Linked DNA regions of Anolis sagrei. The protein of the gene in region 2 binds, or shares a complex with, the protein of the main gene of each other region. Links are inferred from orthologs where the notes say so. Each region holds a gene or a part of one and is shown on either strand. Other genes may lie near its edges.

The links. Proteins that work in one complex are often made in the same cells at the same time.
Region 1: the proteins of PTPN3 (region 2) and MAPK12 are in contact, whole or in part, in a crystal structure (PDB 4QUM), measured with the Homo sapiens proteins. The link is inferred for Anolis sagrei from reciprocal best matches to the Homo sapiens genes PTPN3 and MAPK12. Residues at the interface, in NP_002820.3 of Homo sapiens: Arg655, Leu671, Asn674, Arg675, Tyr676, Lys677, Asp678, Val679, Arg751, His812, Ser843, Ala844, Gly845, Ile846, Gly847, Arg848, Met883, Gln886, Thr887; in NP_002960.2 of Homo sapiens: Met182, Thr183, Gly184, Tyr185, Val186, Val187, Arg189.

What each region holds. Positions count from the first base shown.
Region 1 is NC_090025.1:124,756,254-124,763,885, reverse strand, and holds the start of MAPK12 (mitogen-activated protein kinase 12), read left to right. Parts: upstream 1-4,433; 5' UTR 4,434-4,649; coding exon 4,650-4,765; intron 4,766-7,632. UniProt on the Homo sapiens protein: Serine/threonine kinase which acts as an essential component of the MAP kinase signal transduction pathway.
Region 2 is NC_090026.1:59,187,607-59,195,354, forward strand, and holds the start of PTPN3 (tyrosine-protein phosphatase non-receptor type 3), read right to left. Parts: upstream 3,095-7,748; 5' UTR 3,090-3,094; coding exon 2,945-3,089; intron 1-2,944.

The DNA of each region.
Region 1 (7,632 bases), on a different chromosome or scaffold from region 2:
ATCATCTATATCAAGGTATAGTATTAAGTAAATGGTCAGTGAGAATAGTGTTATATTCATGTAAAATCCCATTAGTATCGACATGTTGAGTTGTGATGGCATAAGTCAGGCTAGCACCACCATCAAAGCTAACTTTTTGTTGTGGATGTTAGAATTCACTACTCACAGCCTCCCCCCTCCAAATCCTCTCAGAAGTGTTTGTGAACTTCTCTGGGTCCTCCAATGCAATTCTGTGATATGCTTCTGCCTCAAATATAGTCAAACTATAGGCTTCAGTGTTATCAGCAGGGTATCCCCAGTGGGCATGGAGGGTCTCAAAATGTATCTCCTTGTTCACACTATACAATTATAGTCCTATGATTCCACTGGGGGCCAAACAGTAATGAACTGGCTGCATGGATACTTGATATTTAATTTTTCTGTCTTGCTCCACTTGAGCAATGAATATTTTGGAGAGAAACTTTAAGGCTAATATATATCTTATGGCATAAGGTACAATAGAAATGTGAGTTGTACATTACAATCTACATTATTGTAAGATCTCAGGCAAATGTGCACACATCAAAATTGGTTAGGGTGAGCAGAGCTTGGTAAAGTTATTATTTTGTAAATTTTGGTAACAACTAGTGATCATGCTAGGAGCCCCCAGTGGCGCAGCACGTTAAACCGCTGGATTGCTGAACTTGCTGACCAAAAGGTCAGTAGTCCGAATCCGAGGAGTGGGATGAGCTCCCGCTGTTAGCCCCAGCTTCTGCCAACCTGGCAATTTGAAAACATGCAAATGTGAGTAGATGAATAGGTACTGCTCTTGCAGGAAGGTAACGGCATGCAGTCATGCCAGCCACATGACCTAGGAGGAGTCTATGGACAACACTGGCTCTTCAGCTTAGAAACAGAGCACCACCCTCCAGAGTTGGACACGACTAGACTTAATGTCAAGGGAAAATGATTACCTTTACCTTTAGTGGTCATGCTGGCTGGATATAACAATTCAGGAACAATGATATTCTTTACTCATTTCCCAACAGAAATCAGAACTTCTTCCCATTTTGTCTATATGCTCCTTTTGTGTTTGTAACTGAACAACTGTCAGATAGTTGCATATAATGCTGTAGTTAATATACGGGTTTATTTAACATACACCCATTGCAAAACCATACTGACAAGCATTTTGTCTGCCTCAATAAATATCATGAGCCACCAGCTGGAAGCCTACCAGATGGAATATACTCCTACCCACAGAATTTTTAAAATTATATTGGTATTTCTGTTATCTTTAGTTCTCACCTTGTTGTAAACCTAATATATCCTCTATTATAACCCAAGCTTGCAAATTACTTCACACATATGATGAAATAGGATGCTAGCTGGGAAAGCTTGTAAGAAATCTGTTCTTCACCAGGCTGCATTGCAACATTTGCAATTGTCCTGCTAGAGAATGAGAACTAATTTGATCAAAGCAACTCCTGCCAGCCCATGCTAAGTGCCATTACTAGAGGTATAATTTTATCAAACTTTATTTCTTGTAGTACTTTCATTATAAATGTTTTAATGACACATAAGCCCCCAAGGTGCGATGGAAAAGAAGTGGTAATGTCATGTTATTATGCATCTGTTGCTGTACTACCTACCATATGAGGAAAGCTACTTTGAAGGACTGGATCAGCCCAAAGCCAATACTGGAGTACAGGCCACTCTACATTGATCCCAAGGGTTCGTTCACATGATACAATTAGAGTGCTATGATTCCACTTTAACTGGTATGATTCTATTTTATAAAATCCTGGACTGGCAATTTTTGTTGTTAACTGCCGTTAAACCATAGGATGGAACCATTGCAGTTCCAATGGAAGGAAGAGGAGGAGAAAACTATACAGTGTGAATAGACCTCAGCTCAAATAACTGTACTTTTATTTCAGCCTGCTTCTAGTCTCTCTTTTGGAAATAATCTGCCATGACCATAGGGAGAGGTGTTGGATAGAATACCAAAAGAGGCCATATTTCTGTTTGTGGTGAATGAGTCAGAGAGACAACTCTCCAAGGCATCTGCCACAATCCAGTCATCACAAGTAAAAGGCATTGTTTATTTAAAAAAGCAGGGAGAATGTCCCTTGTCCTTTCCAGCTTAAACATGGTTGGTATGTGATCAAAAATCCTTTCCTGTTTGACCTGTTTCATGTGGTTGTTGTGAAAATAAATTGGGAAGGAGGAGAAGCTTGCATGCCACCATGAGATCTCTGGAAAAAAGAAAGGATATGCAACAAATGAATGCATAACTATTATATTAAGTTGCCAACTCTGAGGATAAAACTAAGGCAGGGTGGAAATCATGCATTTCTCAAATATTGTTGAACTTCAGTTTTCTAACCCTTGGCTATGCTGGCTATGGGTATTTGCAATTCAACAGCATCTGGAGGGTTGCATGAATCACAGCCCTGGAGAATGATCGTCTACATACTGTCATTATAGATCATAGAGGTTGTCGTCTGGAGTATGGTGACTCTTGCAGGGAATGAAAAAATAATCAAAACTCTAAATACAGTTTTGTTTGATTCTGAACTGAGCTGCAAACTGTCCTTGTCAACAACAATGGACTAAACGAAGCTTAATCCAGACCAGATAGAAAGGTCAGTCAAAAGGTAGATCAGGAATCTGGGATTTAGTCTGTACTAGATGGGATTACACTTCCCTTGAAGATGCAAGTTTATTATACTCCTAGACTCAGCCCTAAATCTAGATTCTCAGTGGTTTTAATGGCCAGGTGTGCATTTGCACAGTTATAACACTGCCAACTGCACATGTTTCGATGGACATCTGATTTGGCCTTAACGGCATATGCCATTATATTACCATAATGTGTTTTGAAGGGTGTTAAAAACTTTCAACTGATCCAACTGTCAACCAGATTGTTCAACAGGGTTGTTTATAGGGAGCACACAACTCCCTTATTACAACTATAAAGCCATAAATGGTTCGAACCCAGACTACTTGAGGGACCACATCTATTATTATTATTATTATTATTATTATTATTATTATTATTATTAAACTTTATTTGTACCCTGCTAGCATCTCCCAAAGGACTCGATACGGCTTACAAAGGCCAAGGCCTCAACACAATAACAACAAACAATAACAATGCAGCAAATTAAAAACATAAGCAATAACACAACAAAACATTACACTATTACACAATAAAATCAGGGCCGGGCCAATGATGGGTACAGGTTAAAAAGTGCTGGGTGTGTGAGGTGGTATGTTGGAGTTCTGGGCAAGTGCAATGTGCAGAGAGTATTAAACTCTAATAAAGTGCTTCTGGGACAGAGTGCTGGAGATTATCCTATTCTGGGAAGGCACATCGGAATAACCAAGTCTTCAAGTTCTTCCTAAAGACTGCCAACGTGGGTGCTAGTCTAATGTCTTTGGGGAGGGTGTTCCAAAGTCGGGGGGCAACCACAGAGAAGGCCCTGTCCCTCGTCCCCACCAAACGCGCCTGCGACGCAGGTGGGATCGCGAGCAGGGCCTCTCCGGATGAACGAAGGGAGCACGTGGGTTCGTAGACAGAGATGCGGTCACGCAGGTAGGCAGGTCCCAAACCGTTTAAGGCTTTGTAGGTAAGCACCTGCACCTTGAATTGGGCTTGGTAGGTAAATGGCAGCCAGTGGAGCTCCTTAAACAGGAGGGTTGACTTCTCTCTGTAAAGAGCTCCAGTTAACATCCTGGCCGCCTCCTCCTGCATGCCCACACAAACCCTGAGACTAACAGGAGAGGCCGTCACAAGTGCGGCTGGCAAGTGTGGCTGGTGGGAACAAGAGAGGGGGACTTTTTGTTGGTGGCCCTGAGGCTCTGGAACTCCCTTTCCAGAGAGGTGTGATCGGCCCCCTCCTTGGTGGCCTTTCACACTCAAGTTAAAACCTTTTTATGGAACCAGGCCTTCCCTGGAGATCAACAATAGCCAATGGCCAGATAATAATAATAAAATTATTTTTATTTTTATCACGGTAGCACAGTGGGTTAAACCCTTGTGCCAGCAGGACACTCACTGACAGCTCGCAGGTTCAAATCCAGAGAGAGCGCAGATGAGCTCCCTCTGTCAGCTCCAGCTCCCCATGTCCCCACACGGGAGAAGCCTCCCACAAGGATGGTAAAACATCAAAAACATCTGGGCATCCCCTGGGTGACGTCCCTGCAGACAGCCAATTCTCTAACACTAGTAGCGATTTGCAGTTTCTCAAGTCGCTCCTGACACGAAAAATAAAAAAAATATTTGTACCCTGCCACCATCTCCCTGAAGGGACTCGAGGCGGCTAACAAAGCACTCCAAAGTGTTAGGAATTTGTGGGAGTTGAAGTCCAAAACACCTGGAGGGCCGAAGTTGGCCCATGCCTGGGTTAAAGGGAAAGCCTCCCAGAAGGCGACTTTCCTCGTGGGGGGAAATGAAAGCGGGAAAAGCAGGCCAACACGGGCTTCCCCTTCGAGGCCAAGGGGGAAAAATGCTCCTATCAGTTCCCTCCAGCAGCTGGAAAGCTTTTTCACACAGAGGTCTCCTCCTCCTCCTCCTCCCCGTCGTTGTCGAAGCGAGTGAATGGAGGGAGGGAAGCGAGTCTGACTGAGGGGGAGAGAAGGAAGCCAGGCAGGCGGGCGACGCCATGTCCTCCCCCAAGAAAGGCTTCCACCGCCAGGAGATCACCAAGACGGTGTGGGAGGTCAGGGAGCGCTACCGGGAGCTGCAGGCGGTGGGCTCCGGAGCCTATGGCGCCGTTTGGTGAGTCCGAGAAAGAGGAAGGGAATGAGGGAGGGAGGGGGGAAGAGGAGGCCACGCCTGAACCTCCCTCACTGGGTCTCTTTGGGGCTCTGTCCCTGGGAAAGGGGGAAGAATTGGAGCATTGGGGCATCTACACTGCAGAATTAACGCGGTTTCACGCCCCTTTCGGGTGAGCCACTCTCTCTCAGCCTCAGCACTGGCTTCCAAGGCGCAACTCCACTACCAACTGGGCGTTCTCACTTTTCAAATCGCCTCAGGCGCAAATGTGTCCCATCACAACAATAAACAACACGAATGCTGGTTTTGTAGGGGTTGGAGATCCTGAATTGACCTCAAATATGCTTCTTCAGAATGTTGAACCAAAAAAAAGGGGGGGGGGGGGAATGCTGGTTTTGTAGGAATTTAGCCTTTTAATGACCCCTTAAAACGAGTGTTTCTCAACCTTCCTAATGCCTGGACATGTTGGAGTTGGAGGTACTGGGATTTATAGTTCACCTGCCATCAAAGAGCACTCCGAACCCCACCAAAAAGGGAATTGGACCAAACTTGGCACACAGAGCCATCACGACCAATAGAAAATACTGAATTTAAATTTTAAACTATTACCTTTGGCCCGGCCATAGGTTTTGTAAATCTTTGTGTGTTACTGTTTATTGGTTATTGTTTATATGTGATTTATATTAATTGTATTGTATTTATTGTTTTTGTTTATTGCTTTTGTTTATTGATGTACTGTTGGGCTTGGCCTCATGTAAGCCGCTCCAAGTCCCTTGGGGAGATGGTGGCAGGTTATAAATAAAGTATTATTATTATTGGGTTGAGGATGCTTGCCATAGATGCAGGCGAAACGTCAGGAGAAAATGCCTCTAGACCATGGCCATATAGCCCGAAAAAACCTACAACAACCCAGTGATTCCGGCCATGAAAGCCTTCGATAATACATTATTATTATTATTATTATTATTATTATTAAGGTCGTTGGGGAAAATTCACCTTGATTTGGGTGAGTTGTAGTTCACCTACATCCAGAGAGCACTGTGAACCCAAATACTGATGGATCTGGACCACACTTGGCACACATACCTGATATGTTGAAATTTGTTTACTGGAGGGGTTTGGGGTGAAACTGACCTTTTCTGGGAGTTGTAGTTCACTCACAACCAGAGAAACCGTGTCCTCCACCGATGATGGACCTGAACTAAACTTGGCATCCAGAAGCCCCATGACTCATTCAACCTACTGGAGGGGTTTGACCCACCATAGTGCATAAATATCTGCTAAGCAGGATGCATTTTCATTCACTGAACCCAATTTGGCACAAATTCCCGATACGCCCCAATGAATGAAAATACATCCTGATTATCAGATATTTGCATTATGATTCATAATAGTTCAAAAATTGCAGTTATGAAGTAGCAATGAAAATATATTATGGTTGGGGGTCACCACAACATGAGGAACTGTATTAAGGGGTTGCAGCATTAGGAAGGTTGAGAACCACTGCACTATGGTGAGTCAATCCCTTCAAACCCCTCCAGTAGGGTGAGTTAGTCATGGGGCTTCTAGATGCCAAGTTTAGTTCAGATCCATCATTAGTGGAAGTGGAGCCCCCGGTGGCGCAGTGGGTTAAACTCTTGTGCTGGCAGGACTGAAGACCGACAGGTCGCAGGTTCAAATCTGGGGAGAGTGTGGATGAGCTCCCTCTATCAGCTCCAGTTCCTCATGCGGGGACATGAGAAACGCCTCCCACAAGGATGGTAAAAACATCAAAACATCCTGGCATCCCCTGGACAACGTCCTTGCAGATGGCCAATTCTCTCACACCAGAAGCGACTTGCAGTTTCTCCAGTTGCTCCTGACACAACCAAAAATTGTGGAAGTCACCGATTGTGAGTGAACTACAACTCCCAGAAAGGAAGGTCAGTTCCCCCACCCCCGATAATCAAATTTCAACATATCAGGTATGTGTGCCAAGTGTGGTCCAGATCCATCGGTGTTTGGGTTCATAGTGCTCTTTGGATGTAGGTGAACTACAACTCCTCCAAATCAAGGTGAATTTTCCCCCTACAACCTCCAGTATTTTTTGTTGGTCATGATGGTTCTGTGTGCCAAGTTTGGTCCAATTCACTTTTTGGTGGAGTTCAGAGTGCTCTTTGATGGCAGGTGAACTATAAATCCCAGTACCTATAACTCCAAAATGTCTAGGCCAATTTCCCTCCAAACCTACCAGTTTTCAATTTGGGCATGTCATGTATTCATGCCAAGTTTGGTCCAGATCCATCATTATTTGGGTTCATTCAAAAATTTGGGGAATCAAATTTTTGAAAGAACTGTGCATGGTGCAGTGTTTTTTCTGTGTTTGTGTGTGTTTTGAATTCAGCTTCCCAAAATACTCTTAAGGAAAGATACATTTTGGAAAACTGTTTTCATTGCAGGCCTGTGTTATAACTCTCATTTTAAAAACATACTAGTATAAACTTTTAGTGCATCAAAATAATGTAAATCTGCAGTTATATATGTGTTGAAGAGCTTGTTTCATGCATGTAAACGTTGCACTGGACAACAGGCCATGTGCAAGGAATTAAATATTTGGGGCGATACAAGGAAATGCTTCATCTCATCCCAGCACACCCACTTCCCTGAAAATTTCTTGCCTTGAGCCCATCTGGAAGTGACTCACTATTTTGCTTTGTTGACTGTATTTCAGAGAACTTCCTGCTGGGGAGAAAAAGTAGGAAGCAATGTTCCTTGTGGGAAATGAGTTCCCAATGTTTTATTATAAAATCTTATTAATGAGAGGTTTTCACTGTTTTAAAAGAAACTGGAAAAGAAAAAAAAGAGAGAAGAAGAGTTCAAGTCTTTTTATC
Region 2 (7,748 bases):
CTTCCTGAGACCACTGAGACCCTCGCCAATGACCAATCAAGACTAAACTTGGCACATGGAGCTCCAGTGACCCACTCTACATCCTGGTGCACTTTGGAGGAGGACAGATCATGGATGATGGGACTTCAAGTACCTCCACTCCCCAAGACTGCTGCAATCTCATCTAATGACCAATCAAGACCAAAGTTGGCACACAGAGCCCCCATGACCCACTCTACATCCTGCTGCAGTTTTGGAGGAGGGTTGACCATGGATGATGGAACTTCCAGTACCTTCACTCACATTCTGAGACCTCTGCAAACCTCATCCAATGACAGATCAAGACCAAACTTGGCACATAGACCTCTCATGACCCACTTTACGTCCTGGTGTTGTTTGGAAAAATTTGGAGATGGATGATGGGACTTGAAGTACCTTTGCTCACTTCCTGAGACCACTGAGACCCTAGCCAATGACTAATCAAGACTAAACTTGGCACATGGAACTCCAATGACCGACTCTACATCCTGGTGCAGTTTGGAGGAGGACAGACCATGGATGATGGGACTTCAAGTACCTCCACTCCCTTCCGAAGATTGCTGCAACACTCTTCTAATGACCAATCAAGACCAAACTTGGCACACAGAGCCCCCATGATCCACTCTACATCCTGCTGCAGTTTGAAAGAGGATGGACTTTGGATGATGGGACTTCAAGTACCTTCACTCACTTAATGACACCAATGCCACCCTCATCTAATGACTGATAAAGACCAAACTTGGCACACAGAGCCCCCATGACCCACTCTATATCCTGCTGCTGTTTGTAGGAGGATGGGCCATGGATGATGGGACTTCAAGTACCTTCACTCACTTCCTGAAAATAATGCAGCCGTTATCCAAAGACCAATAAAGACCAAACTTGGCATACAGAACCACTATTACCCACTTTCTCTAATAACCTGGGCAATGCCGGGTCCCCAAGCTAGTATATATATATAAATGCTCTGTGCATAATCAGTACCCTAAAAACAAAAAACAAAAAAACCAATGAATGAAATCACACCAAATTTGGCCACAAAACGTCTCACAATAGGAGTGACCATCACTCAAAAATTATGATTTTGTCATTTGGGAGTTATAGTTGCTGGGATTTATAGTTTACCTATAATCAAAGAGCATTCTGGACTCCACCAATGATGAAATTGAACCAAACAACGATGGAATTGAACATCTAGAGAGCACTGTGGACTCAAACAATGATGGATCTGGACCATACTTGGCACGAATACTCAATATGCCCAAACATAAACACAGATGGAGTTTGGGGAAAACAGACCTTGACATTTGGGAGTTGTAGTTACTGGGATTTATAGTTCACCTACAATCAAGGAGCATTCTGAAGCCCACCAATGACAGAATTGGGGCAAACTTCCCACACAGAACCCTCATGACCAACAGAAAATACTGTGTTTTCTGGTGGTCTTCGGCAACCCTTCTGACACCTCCTCGCAACCCCCAAAGGGTCCCAAACCCCAGGTTGAAAAATGCTGCCTGAAGGCCATCCAATCCAACTCCCTTCACCAAGGCAAGAAAACATAAACATAGCCCTCCTGACAAAGGGCCATCCACACACACACATATGTGTATATGACAGATGCAGTATCAAAAATTTGAAAGGGATCCCTAAAGAAGGACAATGATATGTTGTATGTTCCAGAGTAGGCAAACCAGACATCAACACTGGCAAAGAAACAGCAAGAAATACTGTTTACCCACAAGCAGAAAGACATTACATATATTGGAAACCAACACTTTCTCATTACTTTATTTTCCAGATCACCAGACTGGGCCACAGCAACGCGTGGCAGGGGACCACTAATATTTGTTAAAATTGTTCTTCATTTTAATTATTGTATTGTTTTAAAGTGTTTTTTTGCACTACAAATAAGATATGTGCAGTGTGCATAGGAATTCATTCAAGTTTTTTTCTAATTATAATCCGGCCCTCCAACAGTTTGAGGGACTGTGACCTGGCACTCATAGAATCAAAGAGTTGGAAGAGACCTCATGGGCCATCCAGTCCAACCCCCTGCCAAGAAGCAGGAATATTGCATTCAAATCACCCCTGACAAATGGCCATCCAGCCTCTGCTTAAAAGCTTCCAAAGAAGGAGCCTCCACCACACTCCGGGGCAGAAAGTTCCACTGCTGAACGGCTCTCACAGTCAGGAAGTTCTTCCTAATGTTCAGATGGAATCTCCTCTCTTGTAGTTTGAAGCCATTGTTCTGCGTCCTAGTCTCCAAGGAAGCAGAAAACAAGCTTGCTCCCTCCTCCCTGTGGCTTCCTCTCACATATTTATACATGGCTATCATATCTCCTCTCAGCCTTCTCTTCTTCAGGCTAAACATGCCCAGTTCCCTAAGCCGCTCCTCATAGGGCTTGTTCTCCAGACCCTTGATCATTTTAGTCGCCCTCCTCTGGACACATTCCAGCTTGTCAATATCTCTCTTGAATTGTGGTGCCCAGAATTGGACACAATATTCCAGATGTGGTCTAACCAAAGCAGAATAGAGGGGTAGCATTACTTCCTTAGATCTAGACACTATGCTCCTATCTGTTTGAAGTGTTTGAGGACCCCTGGTCTACATGGTTTGGATCCAGATGACCTGCAGGATCGCCTTCTCCCATACAATTTGCCCTGTACACTTGGGTCCTGGGGGGGGGGGGGGGGGGGAATTCCAATCAGACTATTTTTCATCTTGCCATGTTCCCTGCTGGGGTCCCCAATGGGATCAGGAAACCAAAGCCCCTCCCCCCGCCTCTCACCCGATTCCCTCAACTGAGGGCGGGGCCCCAGGAAGAAATGCTTCTGGCTTGGCCAACTTTCCTCCTTCCGCTCCCTCCCCTCCTCCTCCGGCCGCTCCAGCTCCAGCTCACAACCCTCCCGCTTGCTTGCTACCTACCTGCCTGCCTGCTGTGGGGAGGGGGCTCGGGGACCCTGTGCCTTCCACCTGCGGCTGACCACGAGACCAGGAAGCGCTCTGCTGCGGGGCGAAGCGGAGGCAAAGCCAGCCCTCTCCTTCCACGCGCCTCCCACCTCGGCCCCATCTCACGCGCTCGCGGGGCGCCCCCCAGCGGTCAACACGCGTTTCCTGGGAGCTGGCCTTAGAACGCCGCGTGGGAAGGGCTCCAGCTGTGGGAACAACGCCCGCCTCGCGCCAACGCCGGGCAAAGGAAGGCGGGAGCAGGGGGGCTGTTTATCTCTTCAATGCTGTCCCCAGTTTACACCAGGAAGTGAGCGCCCTTTGAACGCTCCAAAACGTTTTTTTGCTGGTGACGCGCTTTTGCATGAAGGAAAACAAGAGAGACGCTTGTGGGCCTCAGGAATCATCAGAGGGGAGTGAAGGGCCCTTCCACACAACCATATAACCCAGAATATTGTTTATTTATTTATTTACCTTACTTATATACCGCTGTTCTCAGCCCGAAGGCGACTCACAGCGGTTCACAACAAATACGAACAGCAAAAATTCAGTGCTATAGTATAGAAACAGTTAACAACCTAACACATTACACAATTAATAAACAGTTACTACAATACCCATTCACTGTCGTCTCGTCATCAAAAACATGTTCCAGATTCGTCATCCATTGTTCCATTCCAGTGTTCATTAACCAATCATTGCACTAATTATTGGAACGCCTGCTCAAACAGCCAGGTCTTCACTTTTTTTGCGGAATACCATTAGAGATGGTGCTAGTCTAATGTCCGTAGGAAGGGCGTTCCACAGCCGAGGAGCCACCACCGAGAAGGCCCTATCTCTTGTCCCCGCCAGCCGAGCTTGAGAAGCAGGCGGGATCGAGAGCAGGGTCTCCCTGGAAGATCTCAAAGTCCTGGTGGGTTCATAGGCAGAGATGCGGTCGGATAGGTAGCTTGGGCTGGAACCGTTTAGGGCTTTAAAGGCCAACGCCAGCACTTTGAATTCAGCCCGGTAGCAGATCGGTAGCCAGTGGAGTTGGGGCAACAGGGGGGTTGTATGCTCCCTGCGCTCCACTCCTGTTAAAATCATGGCTGCTGAGCGTTGGACTAGTTGGAGCTTCCGAGCAGTCTTCAAAGGCAACCCCACGTAGAGAGCGTTGCAGTAGTCTAAACGGGATGTAACCAGAGCGTGGACTACCATGGCCAAGTCAGACTTCCCAAGGTACGGGCGCAGCTGGCGCACAAGCTTTAGCTGTGCAAATGCTCCCCTGGTCACCGCCGAAACCTGGGGTTCCAGGCTCAGCGATGAGTCCAGGGTCACACCCAAGCTGAGAACCTGCGCCTTCAGGGGGAGTGCGGCCCCATCCAACACAGGCTGTAACCCTATGCCCTGTTCGGCCTTGCGACTGACCAGGAGTACCTCTGTCTTGTCTGGATTCAATTTCAATTTGTTCGCCCTCATCCAGACCGTCACAGCGGCCAAGCACCGGTTCAGGACCTGGACAGCCTCCTTAGTAGCAGGTGGAAAGGAGTGACAGAGTTGGACATCATCCGCGTACAGATGACATCGTACCCCGAAACTCCGGATGATCTCCCCCAGCGGCTTCATGTAGATGTTAAACAACATGGGAGACAATATTGAGCCCTGAGGAACCCCACAAGACAATGGTTGTGGGGTTGAACAGGTGTCCCCAACAACACCTTCTGAGATCGACCCTCTAGGAATGACCGGAGCCACTGCAAAACAGTACCTCCAAGACCCATCCCCGCGAGGCATCCCAGAAGGATACCGTGGTCAACGGTATCGAAGGCCGCTGAGAGGTCCAGCAGCACCAACAGGGACACACTCCCCCTGTCGAGCTCCAGGCGCAGATCATCCACTAAGGCAACCAATATCATATATTATAGCAGATAACCCACAATGTCTGCTTTGAACTGGATTTGTTTATTTATTTATGTCGAACATTTTTACCCCGCCCTTCTCAACCCCTGGGGGGACTCAGGGCGGTTTAAAATTGGCAATAATTCAATGCCACATCATAAAATACAGAATAACAAATATAACAAACATCTATATAAATAAAAATGTCATGTTCGTTTGTGGTACCATCAGAACTCAAAAACCACTGGGGGAATTGACACCAAATTTGGACACAAGACACCTAACAACCCAATGTATGTCCTCCACTCAAAAAAATTGATTTTGTCATTTGGGAATTGTCGTTGCTGGGATTTATAGTTTACCTACAATCAAAGAGCATTCTGAACTCCACCAATGATGGAATTGGGCCAATCTTAGCACAAAGGGACCAACAGAAAAAACTGGAAGGGTTTGGTGGACATTGACCTTGAGTTTGGAAATTGAAGTTCACCCACATCCAGAGAGCACTGTGGACTCAAACAATGATGGATCTGGACCAAACTTGGCACGAATATTCCATATGTCCAAATATGAACACAGGTGGAGTTTAAGGGAAATAGACCTTGACATTTGGCAGTTGTAGTTGCTGGGATTTATAGTTCACCTACAATCAAAGAGCATTCTGAACTCCACCAATGATGGAATTGAACCAAACATGGCATACAGGACTTCCATGACCAATGGAACACACTGGACATTGACTTTGAGTTTGGGAGTTGTAGTTCACATACATCCAGAGAGCACTGTGGACTCAAACAATGATGGATCTGGACCAAACTTGACACAAAAATTCCATATGCCCAAATATGAACACAGATGGAGTTTGGAGGAAATAGACCTTGACATTTGGGGTTTGTAGTTACTAGGATTTATAGTTCACTACAATTAAAGAGCATTCTGAAACCCACAAACGACAGAAATGGGGCAAACTTCCCACTCGGGAACCCCATGGCCAACGGAAAATACTTAAGGCCATCCAGTCCAACTCTCTTCACCAGGGCAAGAAAATGTAATCAGAACCCTCCTGACAAAGAGCCATCCAGTCATAAATATAGATAGATAGATATGATTCTCTCTCACACACACAGATATAGTATCATGGATTTGAAAGAGACCCTTAAAGAAGGACTATGATATGTTCCATATTACAGAGTAGGCAAACCAGACACTCTCCACATCAACACTGACAAAGAAACAACAAGAAATACTGTTTACTCACAAGCCTAAAGAAATTATATATATTAGAAACCAACACTTTCTCATTACTTTATTTTCCAGATCACCAGACTGGGCCACAGCAACGTGTGGCAGGGGACAGCTAATTATTATAATAAAATGGTAGCTAAGAACTAGTTTGCTTTTTATCCCTCTCAAACCCTTGCATCCTTTTTTCTTTTGCATTATGTCTTATCTTTGTTCGCTGCAAACATCTCCGAGTCTTTTTTTAGCTGTAAATGGAAGTAGGTCAAGTAAGTACCGTATAAAAATTTCCTTTCTTAGAATGGTACTCGTGCCCTCTAGTGATACCATTTTCCATGGTTTTCTTACCCCATTCTTGCTATTGAATAACATTTTTTTAATGTGTTGGTTTAGTGGGATGGGAGCCCAAGTTGAAAGCTGTGAGGAGGCATGAATGGCATCAGGACTCTTAGCTGTTTACCTTTTACTTTAAGAGTTTATATTCTGTAAGTATGTGTTTTGTTTCTTGAAGGTACAAGAAGGATGACAAGGGGAATCCTCAATGTGCAGGGAAATTTAGCATAACCCTGAGACAAGATCCATTTAAGTCTTTAGTTTTATACTTTCAGAGTTGAAAGCACAGCAAGAAAAACAAGAAAATCCCTACTGGTGTAAGGACACAAGATGATTGTGTTATTGTATGTTATGGATATGATAGAAACACATGCAATATTTTTGGAATATAAGTGTTGGAAACTACTTTGGTTGACACTGGAAGAAGAAAAAAATCCATTCTGAGATCACTATGTAACTCCTCCAAAAATACTATTTTTGCATTTTTTTAAAAGTAGCTGACAGTTCACTCCTAATGAAGTGGGAAAGTAGGACTTGCACCTCTGCATTGTTCTTTTTGTGTATGTTTATGTGTGTTTATGTGTGAGAAAGATAATAGTAAAAGCTTTCTGGCTTCATTTCACTCACTGGATATGGGGACTAGTTGTGAGCACAGGCTTTTCACAAATTCTTTTCCTGAGGGCAGAGAAACTTGACATCCCACTCCCTCAAAGCACAGAATATCATAAATCAGTCACAAGTCTGCCCATTTTTGTGGCAGGTAGGCATTTAAAAGATTATATAACTTTCATAGTTTGTTTTACTACAAGACTACAGGAACTAATTTGATTTATTCACAAAGGAGTAGTTTGAATATTTGAGCAACGAAACCTAACCTTGTTGACTGTTTCAGACAGGAAGGTGCAGCAATAGGTACATCTTTCCCCTTAAATGGCGGGATAGAAAATAAATAGCTTTGAATAGCGCAGGCATGGGGAACCTTCGGCTCTCCAGGTGTGGTGGACTTCAACTCCCACAATTCCTTGAGGCCAAGGTAAGCCTTTGGGGTGAATGCCGAGCCTCAAGGAATTGTGGGAGTTGAAGTCCACCACACCTGGAGAGCCGAAGGTTCCTGACCCCTGGAATAGCGTCTATAACATACTGCCATCCCAAAAGATACAAAGCAATTACAACTTTCACTGATGAGTCCAATGTGATCCATCTCCTGTCTTGACTATTAACACCAATAATTAGCTTGTCATGAGCTTGTTTTTCAGTATCAGAGCATGGGAAGGCGTGAACTCCTATCCTAAACAGAACAAACTCCAGCCTTCCAGATGTTACTGCATCACAG